Linked DNA regions of Ovis aries. The protein of the gene in region 5 interacts with the protein of the main gene of each other region in a pairwise test. Links are inferred from orthologs where the notes say so. Each region holds a gene or a part of one and is shown on either strand. Other genes may lie near its edges.

The links.
Region 1: the proteins of THAP7 (region 5) and GOLGA2 interact in binary tests that used the Homo sapiens proteins (3 or more experiments, as listed by UniProt). The two-hybrid records come from large-scale screens. The link is inferred for Ovis aries from reciprocal best matches to the Homo sapiens genes THAP7 and GOLGA2.
Region 2: the proteins of THAP7 (region 5) and LZTS2 interact in binary tests that used the Homo sapiens proteins (3 or more experiments, as listed by UniProt). The two-hybrid records come from large-scale screens. The link is inferred for Ovis aries from reciprocal best matches to the Homo sapiens genes THAP7 and LZTS2.
Region 3: the proteins of THAP7 (region 5) and CCNDBP1 interact in binary tests that used the Homo sapiens proteins (3 or more experiments, as listed by UniProt). The two-hybrid records come from large-scale screens. The link is inferred for Ovis aries from reciprocal best matches to the Homo sapiens genes THAP7 and CCNDBP1.
Region 4: the proteins of THAP7 (region 5) and PIN1 interact in binary tests that used the Homo sapiens proteins (3 or more experiments, as listed by UniProt). The two-hybrid records come from large-scale screens. The link is inferred for Ovis aries from reciprocal best matches to the Homo sapiens genes THAP7 and PIN1.
Region 6: the proteins of THAP7 (region 5) and LURAP1 interact in a two-hybrid assay, tested with the Homo sapiens proteins (2 studies listed by BioGRID and IntAct). The two-hybrid records come from large-scale screens. The link is inferred for Ovis aries from reciprocal best matches to the Homo sapiens genes THAP7 and LURAP1.

Annotation. Positions count from the first base shown.
Region 1 is NC_056056.1:8,025,803-8,029,302, reverse strand, and holds the end of GOLGA2 (golgin subfamily A member 2), read right to left. Parts: intron 3,298-3,500; coding exon 3,052-3,297; intron 2,970-3,051; coding exon 2,894-2,969; intron 2,642-2,893; coding exon 2,553-2,641; intron 2,272-2,552; coding exon 2,053-2,271; intron 1,961-2,052; coding exon 1,858-1,960; intron 1,766-1,857; coding exon 1,659-1,765; intron 1,586-1,658; coding exon 1,432-1,585; intron 1,344-1,431; coding exon 1,129-1,343; 3' UTR 375-1,128; downstream 1-374. UniProt on the Homo sapiens protein: Peripheral membrane component of the cis-Golgi stack that acts as a membrane skeleton that maintains the structure of the Golgi apparatus, and as a vesicle thether that facilitates vesicle fusion to the Golgi membrane.
Region 2 is NC_056075.1:21,603,285-21,606,784, reverse strand, and holds the end of LZTS2 (leucine zipper putative tumor suppressor 2), read right to left. Parts: coding exon 2,965-3,500; intron 2,446-2,964; coding exon 2,197-2,445; intron 1,399-2,196; coding exon 715-1,398; 3' UTR 49-714; downstream 1-48. UniProt on the Homo sapiens protein: Negative regulator of katanin-mediated microtubule severing and release from the centrosome. Required for central spindle formation and the completion of cytokinesis.
Region 3 is NC_056060.1:36,639,191-36,643,322, reverse strand, and holds the start of CCNDBP1 (cyclin-D1-binding protein 1), read right to left. Parts: upstream 2,801-4,132; 5' UTR 2,752-2,800; coding exon 2,643-2,751; intron 2,470-2,642; coding exon 2,410-2,469; intron 2,125-2,409; coding exon 2,045-2,124; intron 287-2,044; coding exon 205-286; intron 1-204. Other genes in the region: TMEM62 (transmembrane protein 62), read right to left, coding at 3,472-3,798. UniProt on the Homo sapiens protein: May negatively regulate cell cycle progression. May act at least in part via inhibition of the cyclin-D1/CDK4 complex, thereby preventing phosphorylation of RB1 and blocking E2F-dependent transcription.
Region 4 is NC_056058.1:12,295,884-12,298,488, forward strand, and holds the end of PIN1 (peptidyl-prolyl cis-trans isomerase NIMA-interacting 1), read left to right. Parts: intron 1-557; coding exon 558-668; intron 669-1,484; coding exon 1,485-1,594; 3' UTR 1,595-2,105; downstream 2,106-2,605. UniProt on the Homo sapiens protein: Peptidyl-prolyl cis/trans isomerase (PPIase) that binds to and isomerizes specific phosphorylated Ser/Thr-Pro (pSer/Thr-Pro) motifs.
Region 5 is NC_056070.1:72,373,248-72,377,117, forward strand, and holds THAP7 (THAP domain-containing protein 7), read right to left. Parts: upstream 2,500-3,870; 5' UTR 2,460-2,499; intron 2,310-2,459; coding exon 2,230-2,309; intron 1,994-2,229; coding exon 1,838-1,993; intron 1,440-1,837; coding exon 1,302-1,439; intron 1,120-1,301; coding exon 567-1,119; 3' UTR 501-566; downstream 1-500. Other genes in the region: tubulin alpha-3 chain, read right to left, coding at 2,987-3,283. UniProt on the Homo sapiens protein: Chromatin-associated, histone tail-binding protein that represses transcription via recruitment of HDAC3 and nuclear hormone receptor corepressors.
Region 6 is NC_056054.1:20,793,500-20,797,658, reverse strand, and holds the start of LURAP1 (leucine rich adaptor protein 1), read right to left. Parts: upstream 2,801-4,159; 5' UTR 2,703-2,800; coding exon 2,505-2,702; exon of another isoform or gene 2,499-2,504; intron 1-2,498. UniProt on the Homo sapiens protein: Acts as an activator of the canonical NF-kappa-B pathway and drive the production of pro-inflammatory cytokines. Promotes the antigen (Ag)-presenting and priming function of dendritic cells via the canonical NF-kappa-B pathway.

The DNA.
Region 1 (3,500 bases), on a different chromosome or scaffold from region 5:
CGGCCCAGCCAGACACTGTGGAGGGACAGGGTGATGGAATGGACACTTGAGCTGGAAGTCAGCACTTGGTGCTGCGGCACTCTGCTTTCCCTCCCTGAGATCAGATCCAACTTCGAGTCACTCCGCTATTAAGGCAGGATGGCCCCTGAGAGCCCCTTTGGAGTTCCCCTGGGGTCCCCCAGGCTTCACCAGGCAGCAGTGGGTGACAGGCCTCAAAAGATCTCTAACAGCCCCACTGGATGTGCCCAGACACCCTGGAGATTGGCACAACTAGAAGCCTGCCCTCTGTTGGCAGGACCTGCTCCCTGTTCAGTGCTCATGGCACAGACCCCAGGACCCAGAGACAGAAAAAAGGCACACACCAGGACAAGCAGTATGGCTAAATTCATTTATTCAGAAATAAAAAGTGAAACGAAATAGGAGTCGAATCACCCGGGCACAAACCCGTCCCCGCCTCCACCTTCTCTCTCTACCCTATACTATTAATAAATAAGTTTCCCCAGCCCCAAATATTTAATAGAAGTTCCTCCCCATTCACCAGCTCCAACCTCTGCTGAGATACAGGGGCGCTGCCCTACCTCCAGAATATACAAAATGTTACAGAGTTACAGTATAAACACTGGGGAGGGAGCCCACTCCGCCACCAGCTTATGTTCTTGCTTGGCCTCAATTTGCCCAACTGTCCCAAGGCCTGTGAGAGTGCTGCCCAGTTGTCAAGCTGGGCAAGGAGGGGGCACTTGGCCCCAAAGTGCCTCTGAATAGAGGATGCATGAGCCCCTCTGAAAGGACTGCTTGGTAGGGGTGAGGAAGCCACCAGGGAGCCCCTGCTCCCCAAGAAGGCCCGCCTCTTAAATAAACTGCCTTTAATTGAGCCTCTGGCTCTTTGTTTCTCTCTGGAACTAGTAGCAGTCCAGATATCAAGACACAGCCCTGGCCAAGATGGCAAGGGGCCTGCACCTGTTTGTTTCCCCTCATTTGACGGGGGGCTTATACCCCTTTCTTCAAGGGTTTCAGCGTGCTAGTCTAGGGATGGGGGGGGGGGAGGAAAGAGGGACAAGGAGGCAGGGACAGGTGGGGGCAAAGCCCCCGGCCCCATGTCTGTGGTCTCTGCCTGCCGGTGTCAGGCCACTAGATCACCATGATCTTCACTTCGTCATTGTCGTCAGCTCGGTAGAAGAAGGGGATGCAAGCGTTGCTACCCAAGCCTGGGTGCTCCTGGGGGTTCTGGATCTCACGCAGCAGCTGCATGATCTGCTGCGCGGTGGGGTTTTCAGGGGTGGTCTGGCCCTGCAGGGCCCCCTGGGGGGGCTCCACGTTGTCGGCGAGGCTCACCTCCTGGAGGCCTTTGGGGAGAGAGGGCAGCAGAGCTTAGAGTGGTGTGCCAGCTCACCCCTGCCTGCCCTCCAGTACCCCAAGGGTGCTACTACTCACCACCCTCATTGTCAGCAGTGCTGGGCTCCTGGCAGGTGTGGGGTGCTGTAGTGGGCTCACCAGCAGGTTTCTGGGCAGCCAGGAATTTGCCATACCATTCATTTCGTTCACCCACCAGGCATAAAACCAGTTCCTGGAGCTCCAACAGCTTCACCTGGAGGGAGAAGTACTCAGCAGCCCCGCCGCACCCCACCCCGGCCTGTAGAGACGGGCAGAAGGACCCCTACCTTCATCTCCTCCTTGTCCTGAGCCAGCCGGCTAATGTACTCTTCCTTCTCCTGATGGCGGGCTTTCAGTACGGCCCTCTGACTCTGATAGAGGGCGATATATTCTCCTGCAGGAGGTGGGGAGGGCAGACGTGGCTCAGAGGCAATGTGGTGCTGCCCGCATCCAGCCCCCCGCCCCGGGCCGAGCCTCCCCACTCACCAATAGTGTCCGTCTCTCCAGATAGCTGGATACAGCGATGCTCCAGCTCCTCCACCCGCTCCTTCAGATCTACTTTCTCCTGCATGAGCTCCGTAAAGCGGCCCTAACGCCAGAGGGCAGGGTCAGGGCTCAGCAGCGACCTGCCCACAGGGGCCCCCACCCTTCCTGGACCCCACTGGGGGGCAGCTCACGCACCTGCAGCTTGTCCATGGCCACTTGGAGGGCCTGGTGCGCCTCCGCGGGCACACTGTCTCCCCCAGTCCTGGGGGCGGGGGCCTCCTTTTCCACCCCATCCTGGGCTGCGGCTGCCAGGTTACAGAGGCGCTGGCAGCGTAGCTTCTGCTCCTTCAACTGCCCGCGTAGCCGGGCCTGCTCATCCTCAGCACTGGCCAAGGCCGAGTGGAAAAATTCCACCTGCGGGGGAGAGGGCACACGTGCTTTTGTGGCAGACACACAGGACCAGAGAGGGGTGGGCGGGCAGGCAGAGAGACATGCCTCTTCTCAGGGTCTCGGGGCGCACGCCTGTGGTTGGAGGATGACACGCTGGCTGACCACGGCTCCCAGGGGAGGTTGGGGGACGACCAGAGATGGAGGGAAGAAACCGCAAAGAAGAGTGTCTGAGAGGAACCGCTGGGGATGGGGTAGGGTGGCGGTGGGGGGAGTGAGACAGGCGAGGAGTGGGGAGGTCCGCTCACCAGGGCCTCTCGGCTCTCCAGCTCCTCCGGCACACTCAGCTTAGGCCTTGGAGCCTCCTCATCCTGCTCCTCACTGTCCAGTCCGTCTCCTGTTGGGGACAGACAGGGGGTCTTCAGACCCCCCCAACCACGGAGGCGGAGCAGGCCTGGAAGAAAGCTCAGAGCCCAGCTCTGCCCCCAACCTCACTCTGCAGCCCTGGGCTAGCCAGTGGCCGGGGGAAGAGGACCCACCGTCCCCATGGCCTCATCTAACTCAGGGCTGAAAAACAACTCGGTGCCATGCTGCCAGACGTCCCCCTGCTCCTCAGGCCAGTGTCCTCCCTCCAGGCCTCCCCACTGACCTTCCCCAGGCACAGCCATGATGGTCAGCTGGGCCTGAAGCTGCTGGTTCTGCTGGTTGGCAGCTTCCAGGCGCTCCTAAGGGGCCAGGGAAGAGAGTGAGGAGGGACACAGGCCGCAGGCCTTCCCTCTCAGGGGCCCAGCGTCCCGACGCCCTCACCTGGGTCTCCTGTAACTCCTGGCGGGCCACCTCCATCGCCACCTTGCCCTGGACTTCCTCGTGCTGCAGCCGGTCCATGAGCTGGGTCTGCAGTAGCATCTGCTTGTGCAGCGCCTCCTTCTCCAAGGCCAGCTGCTGGTAGGCGGCCACATGCAGCTGGCAGGCGGCCACGTAATGCTGCAGGTGGTTCAGGTACTCGTCCCGCTGCTGCTGCAGATCTTGAACCTCCTGGCGCTTCACCTCCACCTGCGGGCAGACCCCGGGGGGTGAGGGCAGGGGCGGGGTGATGACCCTGGGGGCTGAGGGCAGGGGGTGGCTTGCTTCCACAGTCTGAGCCCCTGGGCCGGGGAGGCCGGGCACAGACCCCTCAGCCGGAGACGGACACTGCACAGGGCTTTGCCGGTTGCCCGGGTCCCGGCTTCCTCATCCAGAGCCCCGTGCCGCCTTCA
Region 2 (3,500 bases), on a different chromosome or scaffold from region 5:
CACGGGGGTCAAACAAGTTCCCCTAATCTTTATCCACCACACTCATCCTTTTTTAAAAACAAAAAAAAATTTTTTTTAATTTTTTTCTTTGGGTTTGTACAAGAAATTTACAATGTGAAAAATATACAAGTGAAAAACGAGGCCAAAAACCTGGGTGTGGGGAGGGGCCACTTGGTCACAAACACAAATAAACATTTCTGAGTTCTTCCTTTGGTCTGACTACAGCCCCCTCTCCCCAGGAGAGGGGCTGCAGAGCTGGGACCTGGAGATCAGACCCCAGTCCCAGCCCTGTCCCCCAAAATGGGCAGGGTTGGGGGCAGGCACATCTGGAGCAGCTGGCGCTATCTGGCTCACTCTGGCTTTGGGATGGTGGGGAGCATGTGGAGATGAGGGAGCCCCTTCCTTTTCCAAGCCCCCTGGCTGAACAGGCTGGGAGTGCTGGGGGTGTGTGGGGTTGGCAGAGTAGCAATGGCAGTATTTGGGGAGTGAATGAAATAGGTGGAGTGAGTAGGAGCCTTTGTGTAACAGTGGACACAGGGACCTTCAGGGAGTCTGATCCAAGTCATCGGGCAGCCCTGAGTCCTTGGCAGAGGCCCAGAGGCCTGCACCCCAGGGACTAAAGGCCCTTGGGCCCTCAGACTCTGGGACCCTCGGGGGATCTGAGGCTGCTGCCTGCTTTCAGTAGACCTCCATGCAGAGGCGGGTGCTAAGGCCCTAGATTTCGGTGGCAGTGATCTCCTCCAGGCAGATGCAGGGCGCTGGCTCCGCCAGGCCCAGGTCCGCGAGTTCCCGGGCCTCCAGCTCCAGACTGAGCTGCTGCAGCTCCTGCTCCAGCTGCCGGTTACGTCGGTACATCTGGATGTAGTTGTGCTGCAGCTGCTTCTGGTAGCGGATCACCTGCTCCTTCTCTGCCTGCCAGGCCAGCCGCTCCCCCTCGAAGCTGTCCCGCTGCTCCTCGCCTCGCCGCCGCTCCCGCTGTAGCTCCGCCCGGAGCCGCTCCACCTGGGCCCGTAGGCTGCCCCCGACCCCGGCGGCGGCCCGTTGTGCCTTGGCCTCATCACTCTCTGCCAGGAGGAATGGGTCAGCAGCGGCAGGTGGCACAGGGGGTTCCCGGAGTCCGGCGGCCTCACTGTCCAACTGCCCAGCTTTCTCCCGCAGCCGCTCAGCCTCTTGACGGTGCCGCTGCAGCTCCTGGGAACAGGCCTCCAGCTCCAGCTCCCGTGTTCGGGCCGCCTCCTGGAGGCCCCGTGCCCGGCCCTCACTGACCCGAAGCGCTGCCCGGGCCTCCCGCAGTGCCACGCGCAGGGCCACCAGCTCGCTGCCCTTCTGTACCAGCTCTGCCTGAGATTCCTTCAGTTGCTGCTTCAGCAGGGAGATCTCACCTGACTTCTGGCACACCTAGGGGTAGGAGACAGTTGGAAAAGATGGTGAGAAGGTTCTCCCAGGTGGCCAGGCCCTGACATCAAGCTGGGCATTTGGGGAGAGGCAGTTTGATCACTGTACCTATTTTACAGATGAAGACACTGAGGCAGCTATTCATTGGCTAAGGTGGAATATAGACCCAGATCTTATTCTGGTTTCAAAGCTGGGGTCTTTAAACCATCATGAAACACCAGCTTCATGCGGGTTTGGCAGGAGTGGAAGCAGCAAAGGGCAGTGGCTGCATTTCCAGTTGGGAGGCACAACAGTATCTTGGTGGAAAGCATAGATGCTAACTAGAGCCGGACTGCCTGGGTTCAGATCTCAGCTCCGCCACTGTGTGTGGAGTGTGATCTCAGGCTCCATCCCTTCTGGGTCTCCTTTGCCTCACCGACGAAATGAGGGTGTGAACAGCACCCAATTCACAGGGTTATTACAAGGATTAGACGATACTCTACGTTACATGCTTCGAGTAGCAGTACCTGTCAAGGAGTAAGCACTACATTCTCATTCTTACCATTGGTGGGAAGGCAGTGGATGGGAATGTCACTGGCTACCTGAGCACTTAGAGCAGAGCCATGAGGAGAACGAACGTGGAGGCCCCCAAGGAGACCCCTACCCAGAAAGGGAGGTCAGAGGGCGGAGCCTCATCTCACAAAGGTGAGCAAGGGGAGGCCCTCTGGGGATGGCAGGTGAAGGGATGTGGCTGGGCCCCTCCTTTCAAGCCTTACCCCCTCACTGAAGGCCCTGCTCCCTGCTCCTCCTGGTACAGCTCACCTCCCACTTGGTCTCCTCTAGCCGTGGCCCGAGCTCCCGTTGCTCCCGCTCGAAGGCGGCGCAGCGCCGCTCCAGCTGCTCACGTTCCTGCAGCAGCTGCGCAAAGTCGTCCTGCAGCTGCCGCTTCTCCTGCTGCAGCTGGAACACCTGAAGCTGCAGCAGCTGTTGGGCCCGCTGGGCCCGGGCCACACCATCCTCTCGCAGAGCCTCTCGCTCACGGGGCCAGTGCCGTTGCCGCTCCTCGTACACCTGCGGGCGAGAGGGCAGGCCTGGGTCCTGGAGGCTCCCCCACACCTCGAACCCTGGCCACCCCCAGCACCCCAGTCACCAACTGCCCTGGTGGCCCACTGTCCTGGGCTCAGGGAAGGTGGATTCAACAGTGACAATAACTAGGATACCAACAGTAACAACTACTTTTATGAAAAGACAACAATAGCAAGCGTGTGGGACTTCCCAGGTGCCAGGCATTGATCTAAGCACTTTACACCCTTTTCCCTGCTTAATCCTTAATGATAACCCTCAGGTCAGGAATATCCCCATTTATGGTGAGGAAACTGAGGCTCAGTACAACTGAGTAACGTGCTCAAGTCTGAAAGACAGTATATGGTGGTGCCGTGTTAACCACTCTACAGTTTAAGCCAGACAGCTGGGGTGGGGATGGGGGTCACCAGCCCAACACCTGCCTCTTGACAGACAGAAATGCATCTTGTATGCCCAGCACCTGTGGATGTCCTGCCATGCCACCCCCATCACTGCCACTGACCACACCTGGCACATGGTCACCTCACTCTCGTCCAGACTGTCCCGCAGCTGCTGCAGCTCTGCCTCCCGGTCTCGGAGCTTTCCTTCCAGGACACAGTGCAGCAGGGCCTCGTCCGAAGGGGGTGGAGGGGGTGGGGGCGGTGGTGGGGAGCGTTCCCCACAAGAGCTGCTGTCAGGGGAGGCCCGGGGACCGCTGCCCAAGAGCCCCCCAGCCATGCGACCCCCCAGGGAGCCTGTGCTCTTGCTGGAGGAAGATCGGCCGCTGTCTGAGTGGGAGGGCCCGGTGGGGGCTCCTCGGGCTGGCCCCGGCAGGACGCCCCGCCCAGGACCGTGGGAGGGCAGGTGCCCGCCTGGGGAGTTGGTAGCCGGCTCGGCACCCCCGGTGCTGTAAGTGGGCAAGCTGGACAATGAGTTTCGGCCAGAGTCAGACAGAGTCCCCGATGGGCAGCCGCTGGCCCAGCCACTCAGTATCAGGGGTTTGTCGGCAGCCGAGGAGGAGGAGGAAGAGGAGGAGGAGGCCGGGCCCCCGAACAGCTGCGTTA
Region 3 (4,132 bases), on a different chromosome or scaffold from region 5:
GACATGAGAACACAGTATCTGAACTTTAGCACAAAGGCTTACTTATGGAGGTCACTTATATAACTACCTTTGACTGCACTTAATGGGAGAAAGTTACATTACATGATCAAATTGAGGAAAAGGTAAAATTCTCAGGACATAAGCTGTCACAATAGCAAAGATCTACCCCATAAACTGAACACTTATGTGTATGGAGTGGCTTACCCTGATCCTTGGGAAACAAATAGTACACTGCAATAATTGCCTTGATGGCAGCACGCACTTGTTCACAGAACCTCTGCGTTTCCTAGGAGATGATAAGCCAATTTCAGAAAGAAAAAAAGAAATGGATTAGATTGATGTGGTCAAGCCATCTACAGGGGAAAAGAGCAGACATCTGTACAGCATCATCAAACATTTTCTGAAGTCCTATTATGCATCAGGCTGTGCTGTTCTCATCACATACCAGGGAGGAGTTAGCTGGATACCAAGTACTGAGCAGAAACTCAGTAAGACAAGAAGAAACTGTAGGAAAAACATCCCTGATACTCTATATCCCAAGATATCTGTGATCAGCTTTGAGGTATTCACCATATCTTAGACCAGGAGTTGGCAAACTAGAGCCCAAGGGCCCAATCAGGCTCACTGCCCGTTTTTGCAAATAAAATGTTTCTAGGACACAGCCACACTCATGCGTTTACAAATTGTCTATAATAGTATTCACACTACAGAGGCAGAGTGGAGTAGCTGGACTGCAAAGCCTAAAATGTTTACTATTTGGCCTTTGACAGAAAAGTTGTCAGCTCTATCTTAGACCATTAACCAGTTGTCTATCTCTCTGCCTCTGTCTCTAACAGAATTTCAGTATACCTAAAGGAAATTAGCATGGACTCTACAATGCTCAATGCTGACTATTTTCCTTCTAGGCAGTCACTGGCTTTCCCTTATCTTCCTTGTCCTCACTGCTCTGCTAAATTCCAAGCCAGTGCTATGCAAAATGTGGTCTACAGATGGTGCCAGTCCATAAATGATCTGTCACCAGTCTGAGATGGATAGGTACAAAGATTGAGAGTACTCAGAAACTTTTACACCAATGTGACATTGTTTCAACATCCAAACATATAATTTTGTAAAAATACCACGTTGTAAGGACTGGAATCAAAAAAAAAAAAAAAATTCTTTGGCAGAATTAATGTGCTGAGATCCTAAGAAAGCAACTGTGATTCAAATATATATAATTCATATAAAGCCATATTTTAATTTTTCATCTACGAATGAAAAAACCACTGTCCTGAGCATGTACAGGGTAATCAAATTGACAAAAATTAAAGACAAAGATAAAATATTAAAAGCAACAAGGGAAAAGTGACAAATAACATACAAGAGAACTCCCATAAGGTTACCAGCTGATTTCTCAACAGAAACTATTATCACTTGTGTAAAAAGCAGCAGCCATATGCACTTAAGTGTGAATATGCATAGCATATATATGGAATGATACAAAAGGAACCAAAGACAGGAGATATAAGCTTTTTAGCACATTTAACTTTGATATCTTTTGAACCTTATACTGTCTACATTATTATATATAAATATAATAATATATAATATATATAATAGCATAAAAATAATTCAGTACAAAAGAGTATTATGTAGTATAATAGAAAAGGTGGAGCTCAAACATCAGATAGAACCTAATTTAAGTCCTAGCTCCACTACTTATCTACCTTAAACTGAGCCTCTGAGCCTGCCTGTTCATCTGTCAGAAAAGGATCATGTATGTGAAAACACTTAGCAAATAGAAAGTATATTTTAAAATGCCAGAAAGGAAATAACCAGGATGGACCTCAGAATGAACCAATATTTAGAAGAGCCATCTACCCCATGACAACTACTGCATTTGACAATTTGATCTTCAGAACAATCCTGTGGAGTGAGAACCTTCACCTTACTCGACAGATGAGGAAATTAAATCCCCAGATTTGAGTGTAAAAGGTGGAAAGAAAATGAGAGGCTTCTTAAGGAATACTGAGCAGCACAAGAATCCTAGAAAAGTGAAGCCCACCTGTGGAGACGGCAGCGGAAGTCGAGAGAAGGCTACGGTCAGAGTCGTGGCTTCCCTTGACACTGTCACAGCTGCCTCATCTGGGGGAGTGACAGAGCAGGCGGCAAGAGCCAATATGTTAGTGCCAAAAGGAAAAGGCTGCAACGGCTGCACGGACCTTGAAGATAATGCGTTCCCTCTCCACCCATGCCCGCTGAGACGTCTCAAAAACACCTCCAAAAATCAGTGTTTTATATTTCAACCTCGGAGATACCAAGGATAGGTAAGGAGTATCCCCGCAGAGAGGCTGGGGCGGGGGGGAAGCAGGAAGGAAAGGAGTAGGGAAGAGATGAGAGACAGCAGTCTCCAATAGGAGAGGCACTCACTGAGTCTTCTCCAAAAGGCCTCCCGATCAAACTCCTTGGTGGTTTCCTGGGCTTCGCCGACTAGTGGGTGCGGGGTGTGCGCCGGACGGCGACAAACGAAAGAGCACAGGTAAGCGGAACGACCTCCCGGACCCACCTCCTCTGCCCGGACCCGGCGCCGCGGCCGCCAAGGCCTGGCTCCTTCCCACCCAAGCCCGCCCCTGCGGTCACCCGGCCTCACTAAGTCAGCTCACCCCGCACTCCAGGAAGCAACTGCCGCAGCTCCCCGGCTAGGTGCCGAAGCTGTTCCAGAGGCGGATCCAGGGTGGGGTCTGGGGCTGCAGATACAGCTGCGCTCTCCATCCCAGTACCGCGTTTGGAGCCAGCGGACCAAGCCCCCACAACAGCTTCCGGAGCCGCACCGCTGTCGCAGCTCCTCTTCCAGGCCACGGTTTCGCTTCCGGCAACAACCTGCCCCGCCTCGGAAGCCCAGCCACACCCCTTCCGCTCTCAAAAGCCCCGCCTCGCTCCCGCTCCTAGCGACACAGGCAAGACCCAGACCGAGTTGTTTCTTATTCATTTATTGGTATTTGATTAGTTGAAAACACCCCCGACTGAGGAAGCAGAGAGCCCATAATCCTGTCGAAAAAAGGACTAGGAACTAAACAAGGGTAGTCAGGGTCAGGTCCAAGTTTGCACGTTCCCTGTCCCTAAAGTGGCCTCCTTACAGGCTGCCAAGTTCCAGACACTGTGCTAGGTACTTTACATGAGGTATCTAAAAAACACACTGAGTGGGCCTCAGATACTCCCTTATCCACCAGCCCCTGCCCTGTGGATCTCCTAGATAAAAGCTTTCTCTTCACAAAAGTAAATCAACCCTTTACCTTCTTGAGGAAGGGAGGAATCACGGCATTATATAGTTTTCTGCAGTCCATTCTGCAAGAATCAGTAGTAGGTAATTCCCCCCAACTCCCAGGTGTCCAAGGAACAGCAGCTCCCTGATGTTTGCCCATCAATACTGGCCTTTTACCTGCTGCTGAGGCAGAGGCCTGGGCTACAGAGGTGGATGAGGAGATACAGACTTCAGGAGCTCAAATGGCTTTTTAACTGCACTATGAAGGTTCCAAGCTTAGCAGAGTTCACTGTCCAAACACAACGAATGAGAACAGGTGTCGCCAGTGTCAACCAGGTCCGTAAAGGGGAGAATAAAAAAGCTAGAGTGCCATATGTCACGTGAAGAAAGTAGCAGGAATAAATATGCCAGATGTACAGCAGTAACATAAGTAGGTGAACAGGTATAATTTTCAAGTATTTTCCTTGATGGAGATGAGACCTGAAGCTGTGACCAAAGCACCGCTGCAGCAAAATCCAACACAGGTAACCCATCAAGGGGATGTTAAAAAACACCAGCTGGAAAGAACAGAACAGAACCATTAGCTTATTAAGCCCTGGTGGGGTCAGGTCTCACTAACATATTATTGGTGGCTCCTAAAAATATGTTGCTTGCTCTCTTGGGGGTTAACTGATACTTTATACTTTAATCACACTTGTGTCCTTAGTTGTTTATTTGCCTGCATCCTTTTGTTCATCTTAAAGGCAAGTGTCATTTCATTTCTGTTGAAGCTCTCAAATGTTTAAGGTAGAAATGAATACATATGTCTATGTACAAACACACACACACATACATATATATACAGTACTTTTTTTGGGGGGGTAGCGTGAGGGGGGAACTTGGATATCAATA
Region 4 (2,605 bases), on a different chromosome or scaffold from region 5:
CTATGGCCTCCTGCCTCTAGAAAATTTTCCTTTTACTGCCTGAGGCGTCCCAGTGTCCCTTTTTATTTTTATTTTCTTGGCTGTGCTGCTGTGGGATCTTAATTCCCAACCAGGGGTCAAACCTGTGCCCCGTACGTTGGAAGCCCCGAGTCTTAACTGCTGGACCGCAGGGAAGTCCCCCAGTGCTCCTTTGTAACGTCCGTCCTGCCTTCTGTCCTCCCCAGCAGAGCCTGGAGGTAGACTTCCTCTCAGTGTGTGGGGGTAGGTAGAGGCCATGCCATGTTCATTATGTGTTCCTGTGTGTGTAGGGAGGGGGGTTACAGAGAAGGGGTTGTAGGACTGGGTAGGAGACCAGCTGCTCTTGAGGTCACCACAGGGTCATGGGGTGCATGCCTGTCATGGGTGTGTATGGCTCCGGCTGTGGTTGTGCATGCACGCTCATGCACACACGATTAGCAGGGGTTGCGGGCTCCTTTCTGAGTGAAGTGCTGCCCTGCCCGGAACCCTCCGCCCACCCCGCCCTGACGAGGAGGCCTCCCTTTGTGTCCCCCTTGCAGGCTACATCCAGAAGATTAAGTCTGGAGAGGAGGACTTTGAATCTCTGGCCTCACAGTTCAGCGACTGCAGCTCCGCCAAGGCCAGGGGAGACCTGGGTGCCTTCAGCAGAGGTGCGCAAAGAATGGGCACCCCTGAACCCCAGCAAGACCCTCTGACCCACTGGCACCTGCACCCCACCTAGAGGGATGGCCCGTGTCACACTGTCCCCTGGGGTCCACCAGGTGGCAGCAGAGTCCCTTCCTCAGGCTGCAGAGTCTTCTCCCCGGTGGTGGCATTTCTCTCGGGGTGGGGCATCCATCTGTGTGTGTCTCTGCTCAGTTGTCCCCATCACAGACCCACCAAGGTGGGTGCCTGCTGCCATTTCCCTCTCTTCCTGTTGAGGTGCAAAGCTGGGGCCCCTAAGAGTCCCAGAGCACATCCCCCAGAATCCTCTGCCCACCCTCCTGGGTGGAGAAACCAGGAGTGAGGGGAGGAGGGGGTCAGATCAGCAACCCTGCCAAGTTCAGGCCTCTCCACCTGGGACTGTGGGAAGGGAGGAGCAGAGGGAACCAGGCCGCCGCCGCCTCCCCCCTTCGTCCTGGGGTCTCTAGAGCATCAAGGAAGGGCCCAAAATAGGCTGAGGGGTGTTTGGGAGCCAGCAAGGGGCTGTGGGCCAGGGAGACCAGCTCCTCGGTAAAGCTCCTCTCTCAGTGCACAGAGGAGACAGCCACTGTGCCTCGTTCTTCATGCTGTCCTCAGCTTCCTGGGGCCTCCCTAATAGCCTTGCCACCCCCAGCTGCGCCCAGCTCAGGCGCCGTGGCAGGGCCGGAAAGTGCATGACGGATGAGTCAGAATGAGGGCCCTGGGGGCGCAGTGGGAGCCCCGTCTGCCCAGTCCCACCTGCAGGTCTGGACCCCACCCGCCACCTCTCCTGCTTCCTCCCCCAGGTCAGATGCAGAAGCCATTTGAAGACGCCTCCTTCGCGCTGCGGACAGGGGAGATGAGCGGGCCCGTGTTCACAGATTCGGGCATCCACATCATCCTTCGCACGGAGTGAGGGGTGTGGATGGCCCAGGCCTGGCCCCCTGGGGGAGACAGGTGGGACGGGGTGGCTGGGCCCGCAGACTCCGCTCCCTGCTGCCGGCCAACCAGTGGGGACCCCTCCCTTCTGTCACACAGTATTTATTGATCCCAGAATGGCTGGGAGGGGCCCCTTCACCACCGGGTGCTCCCTGTCCGCTCCTATTGGGGCTGTCCCTGCTAGACTCCCCTCCCCTTTAGGAATCGACTTCAGAAGGGCACAGGGTGGAGAGGCTCCCTGGGCTCCCAGGGCCAGGGTTGGGGGTGACCTGTCCCAAAGAGAAGGCCTAATTAGCTGAGCTGCCCCTGTGCCACCCCAGGTCCAGGATGGGGTCAGGTGGGCCTTGAGTTGTTGCTGGTTGGGCCGTGTTCCTCTGTTCAGTTGTAAAAAGCAGACGCTCTGCGTGGGGCCCAGGCTGCTGGCTGCTATGGGGCCTCTAAGCAGCCATGCAGCGCCTTCCCCACCCTTGATTAAACCTGGAACCACTGCTCTGCTGTCTGGCATTTCATTTCCCACCCCCAGGGCAGCGATCATCTCCCACCACCCCTGGTGTCAGGTGTCCAGGCCATGTTCCCTCCCTGGGAAGCTGCTCCTTTCCCTGGGCCTGGGGTGCTTCATAGCAGCAGCAGACTCTCAGGGAAGTGGAACAACCGCGGTCCTCAAACTTGGGTGTTCAGGAATGTTCCAGAATGCAAGGGCCCTGACCGCACAGCTCTGGGTTCAGCAGGTCAGGTGGAACAGGAGAATCCTCAGGGAACCCAAGTGAAGTCCCCGTTCACCCTTGGTGCTCTCGGTGCCGTGCCCCCCCAAACACACCCCACTTCAGTTGGAACAAAATACTCCCAACACTCCGATGCCCACTCCCCTGTCACCGTAAGCATTCTGCCAGGACCCGGGCACCTCTGCAGATGCTAATTCCATGGCAACGGGGGCCAGTGAGAGGGCACTGCCAGATGTCTCTGAGAGCAGGGGTCCTGCCCAGCCTTC
Region 5 (3,870 bases):
CCTCTCCTGGCCCCTTGCTGGCTGCCGTACTCCTGAGCTGCCTGGAGGTTCCTGCCTGGGCGGGGCTGGGCCTCCCCATCCTCTGCCCTGCGTCCATCCCAGTGGGTAAGGCACCATTCTGCCCCCCTTCTGGGAACAACAGCTCTTGTGCCCAGGCTGCCAGGAAGCCACTTAGGGGAAAACAGTCTTCTGAGCCTTAAAGCTCGTTTCCTGCCTCAGGTTGTGCCCCCAGGATCCACACAGGGCCTGCCACACCTCCAGCCTGACTGGCGGGCCTGGGGGTGGCGGGTGGGTGGACAGGCTCGGTCGAGGGGCGCTCACCTGGAGGCACAGGAAGTTCGGCAACGGCCTGAGTGAGGGGGGCCTCGGCCAGCCTGGGGGCTTGGGGATCACCGCGACTGCAGGGTCGAGCCCTCTAGCGGGCTATAGCCAGTCGGGGGAGATGGACGTGGTACCCAGGGGGCGGGGCCCCAACGCTCCGCTGAGCCAGAGAGCAGGGCTTCTTTTGAGGATCCCCTTTATTGTGGCAGACACGGCTCAGGGCAGCTCCCTGTCCAGGTGGCCCCTCAGGCCATGCTGCTGCTCAGCTGCATGGCAAAGTCCTGCACGTGCTCCTTCAGCGTCTGCCGGGCGTCGGCCTGGGCCCGCTTCTCCCGCGCTCGCTCCTGCTGCAGCTTGGTCAGCCGCAGCCGCAGCCGCTGCTCCCGCCGCTTGCAGGCCTGCAGCTGGCGCTGGGCCTTGTCCAGGGCATCCAGGGCGGCCTCGGCCCGCCGCTTCCAGAGCAGGGCGCTGCCCACCTGGTAGCTGTGCTCGCTCTGGATGTAGGCGCCGGCGGGCGGCGGGAGGCGCAGCATGTAGGCCGAGGGCGAGGCGGGCCGCGGCTCCAGGGGGGACGGCTGGCGCTCTGGGGAGGGCTGGGCGCTGCAGCCCGCCTCATCTGCCTGGGCGCCCAGGGGCCCCAGAAGGTCGGAGAAGGGGCTGCTGAGGCCAGGCTCCAGCCTCCCGGCTGGGGAGGCAGACAAGACCGCAGGTGCTGAGGCTTCTTCCACAGGAAAGCAGGCGACGTCAGCAGGTGGAGGAGGGGAAAATGGAGCGGTGGGCCCCGGGCCCTCAGAGCAGCTGGGAGGAGACAAACAGACTGACACGCCGGGCCAGGCGCAGCGCGCCCTGACCCGCTTCACAGCCCCGCTCACCCCCATCCCTGAGCCCACTCCACAGGCTCCCAGCCGCGCCCAGGAAGGCTGCTGGCCAGCACCCTGCAGGCCGGTCCCTCCGGGGCTGTACAGCGGGACAGCACGTACCGTTTCCTGCATCGCCGCAGGCGGCTGACTTCTGGGGGGCCCGGCGGGTAACCGTGCCGCTTGGTCTTGGTCCGGCGCAACTTCGAGAAAGACTCAAATATGGTTGGAACTGCTCCCTCCTTCAGCCTGTGATACCCACTGCGGGGAGAGTGGTCTGGATGAGACGGAACACAGTCCTGCCACACTGCAGGCGGCAGAGCAGCCTGCCACCCTGGCTCCGTAGGAAGTGGGAGGCAGCGTGCCGACAATGAGTTCAGGGAGTTTCCCAAGTTAAGGGCCCCCCCACCACCGGAGCAGCAGGCAGAAGGACGGGTTTCTTCCGCGCCTTTGCTGGGAGGGCTGGGGCTGCAGGGAGCGCGCTCCGCCTGTGGCCAGTGCGGCAGGCGTGGGGCTAGGGTCTCGCTGCCCAGGTCCGCCTGGAGCGGAAGCTGAGGTGACGAGGTGGGAAGCACCAGACCTGCTACTCCGGCGGCCTCCCCACCGGCCACCCGCCCCATGTTCACGCCCTCCCGACCGCCGGCTGCCAGGAGGCTCACCTTATTCCCACCAACTCGAAGCAGTTCTCCTCGAAGTGCTTGGAGCAGAAGTAGATGTACTCGGACGCCGGGTCCCACAGGCCCTGCCCGCTCGGGTCCAGTCGCTGGCAGTTGGCCAGCCACAAACCCCGCCTCGGGTTGTCCTTCTTGGGAAGCCTGCGGGGGCCGCGAGCCCGTGAGCGCGACGGGAAGGTGCGCCCGGCTCATACCGCCCGCGGACCTCCTGCGAACCCAGCCCGCGCGCTCCCGGGGAGACAGGCCCGCCCGGCATCCTCGCGCAGCGCAGGCGCCGCCCCCGCCCGCTGCGCGCCCCGCCAGAGCCCCGCCCCCGGCGCGAAGGCGCGTGCGCGGCGGCGGGGCGGGCGCATGCGCAAGCGGCCCTGCGCGCCGACCTGTGGAAGGAGATGCCGCGGTTGCGCGTCTCGCGCGTGTCCCGTGTGCAGCAGCCGGCGGCGGAGCAGTGACGCGGCATCTGGGGCAGAGGCGGGCGCTCGGTCTCAGCGGCCGCCGGGGTCCAGGCCGCCGCCCCGCTCCGGCGGCCGCGGCCTGGAGAGTCTCCCCGGCCCGACCTCGCCGAGTCCCGCCCCAGCCCGCTCTTCCGACTCCTGTCTGCGGCACTCACGGTCTCGCCATTGCGGCGCCGCCGAGGTCTCGCGAGGTTTGCCGAGCCGCGGAAGTCGGGACCATAGAGACGCGGAAGCGCGCGGCGCTCGCTGAGGGGCGGGCCCCGGAAGCGGCGGGAGGGGCCGCGGGCCTCGCCCAGGCCGCCCGCATCCGGGTGGTGCCGGCAGCGGGGATTGCCCTGGGCTGGGGGTGGCTCCAGCGCCGCTGCTCCGGGGCGCGCGATGCGGGCCCCGATCCGCAGACCCGCTCGGGTCCGCTTCCTGCCCCGAGGAGCTCGCTGACCCGACGTGTGTAGGTGGAGCGCGCGTCCCGGTTCCGCCCCCGCTCCTTCCCGGGTTAACGCGCCCGGTGACGCTCGGCAGAGTCAGACAGACGTGCGGCTCTGCCGCCACACTGCCGTGGGGAGGAACACCGTTTCCCGCAAAGCAATACACAGATGATGCTCAACACAAAAACTTTAATAGGGAAACATCTGTGAAGGGGCCGTCGGGGGACCGGGTGCAGGGCTGCGGCCGCGCCCCCCCCTCAGTACTCCTCCCCTTCCTCGGCCTCCGCCTCCACCGAGTCCACGCCCACCTCCTCGTAATCCTTCTCCAGCGCCGCCAGGTCTTCCCGGGCCTCCGAGAACTCGCCCTCCTCCATGCCCTCCCCCACGTACCAGTGCACGAAGGCGCGCTTGGCGTACATGAGGTCGAACTTGTGGTCCAGGCGGGCCCAGGCCTCGGCGATGGCCGTGGTGTTGCTCAGCATGCACACGGCCCGCTGCACCTTGGCCAGGTCTCCCCCCGGGACCACCGTGGGGGGCTGGTAGTTGATGCCCACCTGCCGGAGAAAGAGAACATGCTCAACTTGGGAGTGAGGCCTCGGAAATGGTAGCTCGTTTCTAAGCATGGGGGCCATGGACCCACTTCAGACGACGCCCTGTAGGAACGGGTACTCTCTTTTTCGGCAGGATCTGGCAGTTTAATATCCCACGTTTTCACTTCTAGAAGGGACTTGAGCTTTTCAGCCTTCTGCATGACTAAAATATCTTGCCACATACACACTTTTATAATGAGAAAACCTAATACAAACGTGGGGAAAGATTCCAGGAAAATGGTGACAGACGGTCGTCAACACGTGACGCCACACCCAGACTCACAAGTGAGGATTCGACACCGTCGGGGTGAACTGTCTTCCGTGGGGACAGCAGTGTGACCTCCTGTACCTCCCCAGACTGGCCTCCCCTCTGGCTCACAGACCGGCCAGGAGGGGAAGCCTGGGCAGTGCCAGGCACCCCACACAGCGCTGCCCAGCTGACAACGGCTTGGGTGGCAGCCTTGCCTTCCAAAAGTCAAAGTAAGGGCACTGAAAGGAAACTTCCTCAAACCAAGAATGGAAGAAAAAAGACGTCCCTGGTGGTCCAGCCG
Region 6 (4,159 bases), on a different chromosome or scaffold from region 5:
GCAAAGCCAGGACTTGAACCCATGCCTTCTCTCTCTCTGCCTAAAGCTTTTTCTCAAACTGTTCTGTGGGGGTGGGTTGCCATAGCAACAGTTCTGTGGGTGGGAGGATTAAGTATGGGAGGTTGCCATTGTTTTCCCTTCCCACAGATCCCAGAGTCTGTCTGGTTCACTCAACTTTTAAGTAGGGGAGGGAAGTGGCCAAGAGGCAGGGATGACCTTGGCCTCAAGGACAGGCCTGCCCACTCCCTGCAGGAAAGCTGGGTGAGGGGCAGTTGAAGGACACTACTTACAGGGCTTGGACTAGTTCTGCCACAAGTGGCTCCAGGGGAACCCTCTCCCCGCAAATGCCCCACCCCTTGCCCTCCCCAGTGCAGAGTACATAGAGACCAAAGGCACCTTTGCAGGGGAGGGGAAAGGAATGGAGCAGGGCACTTGGGGAACCTCTCCCTGAGCAGGACCAGAAGGCTCCCTCCCTTGTGTCTTTCTTAGGGAGCCTTGGGCCCCAGGCCGGGCTGGGTCAGGAATGCAGAAAGACCCAAACAAAAGAGAAACTTATCCTTTCAAGTTTACCGATAGGTAATCTCCTCCAGGGCTTCCCAGGTGGTGCCAGTGATAAAGAATCCACCTGGCAATGCAGGAGACTGAGGAGTCCCCAGTTCGATCCCTGGGTCAGGAAGATCTCCTGGAGGAGGGCATGGCAACCCACTCCAGTATTCTTGCCTGGAGAATCACATGGACAGAGGAGGCTGGCAGGCTACAGTCCATGGGGTCACAAAGAGTCGGACACGACTGACGTGACTTAGCACACACGCAGTCTCCACCAAAGACAGGAAAGAGTTAAAGCCAGAGAGACCAGCCATGGCTCCTCCCCGTGCGAGCTCAGGCAAGCCCCTCAGCACCTGCAAGCCTGTTTCCTCTGTGAGAGGGGAAAACGATAACTGCTTTTCTCCCTCCAGTGACATAAAAGACATTTAGTGCATCTGGCACAAAGCAGGTCTCAATACTGAAAATGTAAAGTGCAGGCAAATCATCTGAATTCAAAACTTGGCTATACTTTCTACTTTTTGTCTGACTTTGGACAGCTACTTAGCCTCTCTGTGCCTCAGTTTCTTCATCTATAAAATATCCCTTACCTAATAAGTTTCCATGAGAACTAGGAGACTATCTTGTAAAATGTTCAGCATGATTCCTGGCACATGCACTTGGTGAAAGTTAGTTTCCAAAGCAAGACATTCTAAGTTAGCTCTTTCTCTGCCCTAAGCTAAAGTTTGTAGAGTGAGGCAAAGCCAGACCCCTCCCTTAGGTGGGCACAGTTACAACCCTACTGGGGAGAATCTGGCAATAGCTTCCAACCTTCAAGGCCAAATGCACACATGGCATTCAAATCCTTCCCCCAGGGAGCCTTCCCTGACTGCTTTGCCCACGAAACTCTCCTCCCATCCTTTCAGGAAGTCCCAAGACCTCCCTCCCAACGTCTCCCTACATACATACACACACACACACACACACACACACACACACACACACACACACCTCAGCATGGCACATACACCCCTCAGCATCACACACACACACACACACCCCTCAGCATGGCACAGAACTGGGCACAGTGGGGCTCCAGGAAGACCTATTAGCTGACACACTCACTGTGGGCTCCTGGTTCTAGGCCAGAAGGTAGCTGGCAATTCCTCAGTTCCCTAGAATTGGTTGCAAAGTGGTGGCAGGTGTAGATCACCCCCTTCACCGGAACCAGGGCCCTAGGGAGCCTGGGAGGCCCCAACTGCCCTTTTGGCTCTGAATCTAGAGCAGCAGCAACAGGGAAGGGGCTCGGTGCTGGTTTCCTCCTCTTCTCCCCAAGGAAGTGCAGATGAGATGCAAATCTCCAGTGTACTTGGGGGCTGGCAGGAAGGAGACAGGGTCTGAGGAGGTGAGGTCAACACTCTGGTGCTGCTCCTCCGTGTCTGCTAAGCTCCTAGGAACTTTCAAATATTGTCCGTGGGTGTGGGGGATGCTAGGGAAAGAGGATGTTTTTAGTGGCCCTAGTCCAGGCAGTTTTCACGCAAATCGCTTCTGTGCAGAGTGTTGGGGTGGATACTGGAGCCACAGAGGAACAAACCCCGGTCCCAGTTTGGAGGAGGAGAAAAAAACTGTTGCCCTGTAATGGTGGCTAGGGGGAAAGGAGGAGCTAGATTTGTGCCGTCCTAGGTTCTCAGGGCTTCCCAACCCGTACCTCTCCCCTCCCAATTATTTGGCAAAAAAAAAAAACACACACACAACTTACCAAATCCTGCACCTCCCACCCGGAGTCAATACTCCACTCACCCTTGGTGGGGAAGGCAATTAATGAACCCCAAGGATTAAAGATTGATCTGGTAGGAATACTGAGGAGTTAGGCAGGTGGTTTTAACTCCCTCCTCCCCAGCCCAACTCTGGGTACGCGAGTCCATCCTTTCCGGCCCCGCGCTGGAGACTCCGTCCCACTGGCCCGTGCAGCCCCCACTCACCAGCTCCATCCTCAGCGCCATGATCTTGTCCCCCAGGCTGTGGCCCGTGCTAGGGGCCCCGGAGAGCAGCAGAGCGCCAGAGGTTCCTGGCTCCCACTCGCCTCGCAGCCCACGGAGCAGCCCTTCAGGGGTCTTCCTGCCCACCTTGCCCTCCACGTCTCGCAGGTCAGGCGTCTGGGACTCCGCAGTCCCCTCCATGCGGGCCTAAGCCTGAACGGGATTGGGCAACCGGACGCCGGGATCCCGCTCCCGGCGGGGGGGGGGGGGTCCTCCTTTTTCGGCTGCTAGTGCCGGGCGGAACCGGTGGGTCCCCGCCCGCACTCTGTCGCGGAGGGAGGAGGGCGCCGTAACACTCAGAAAAGCGGCGCAGAGCTCGGTATGTGTGTGTTGAGTGTGGATCTTCGGGTGCTGCGCATACACCTCTGGCTCCGGAATGGGTGAGGCTGGGTGATGCTGAGTATGCACCTGAAGGCAACTCAGCGCCTTCTCCCGACTGTGGCGCTGAGTCCAGCCAGGCACTCAGCAGGCGCCCAATGAATGTTTGCTGAAGGAAGGTTAAGCACACTCAGTTAGGGAGGTGGGATTTTAAGGAAGAGTGCTAACAGAGCTACAGAGGGTTTTGGAAGCCTTCTTGGAGTAGATTCTTTCCCATCTAAGCCACCAGGGAAGCCCCTGGAGTAGAGGAGCTGGGTCTAAAACAGTGGCTGGAATTTAACTAGCCACCGACACACACACACACACACACGCACGCACGCACACACACGCACAAGCCACTAAATTTAGACTAAAGGAGAGGAAGTCAAGTTCTTTTGGCCAGTGAGGAGAAAATATTGAAGCTGATGATTCTTATACTGTACATATATGGATTATCTGGGAATCTTGTTAAAATGCAGATTATGATTTTGTAAATCTTGGGTAGGGCCAGAGATTCTGCATTTCTAACAAGCTCCCTGCTGATGGCCATGCGGCTGGTCCAGGGACCACATTTTGAGTAACAGATTTATAAAAGGTGGTTTTAATATGCTTGGATTTTATTCTGTGAGCAATGAGGATCCATAAAAACTTTTTATGCTCTGGCTTGATTTTGGTTTTTAATCCAAGTAATTCTGGTCCATGGCATAAAAGATAGTTACCCTGACCTATCCTTTCCCACATCTAGTTCCACTTCCCAGAGGCAACCACTTTTAGCTATTTTTTCCTGGTGTTTATACTCATAGCTCCACAATAGGCTTTTATCATCATCTCCTGATTTTAAACATTGTCTACTGACCTCCTATTATGATACATAAGATTTACTGCACATTCTATGCTTCCCTCCTTCCATTGGCCCTATTTCTATCATTATTTTTCAGCTTGTTATCTTTGTAACTTTAAGTAACGTACTTTTCTTTAGTATGCTTTGATCCATGAAAGGGTTTTAAATCAGAGACAGACAAAATAGATTTGCCTTTTTTGAAAAAATACTCTGGATTTTGCAAGGAGAATTAAAGGAGTAAATATCTGAAGTCAAGGAGACAAGGTAGAAGGCAAGAAACTAAAATGTCCTGGCCGGGGCTGGTTGTGAAGTTGGAAAAGAATTAGACCTGAATGGAGGAGGAATCTTTAGATGGCATGATGGACAAGACTTGATAACTAGTAACATTTGTTTATCTATA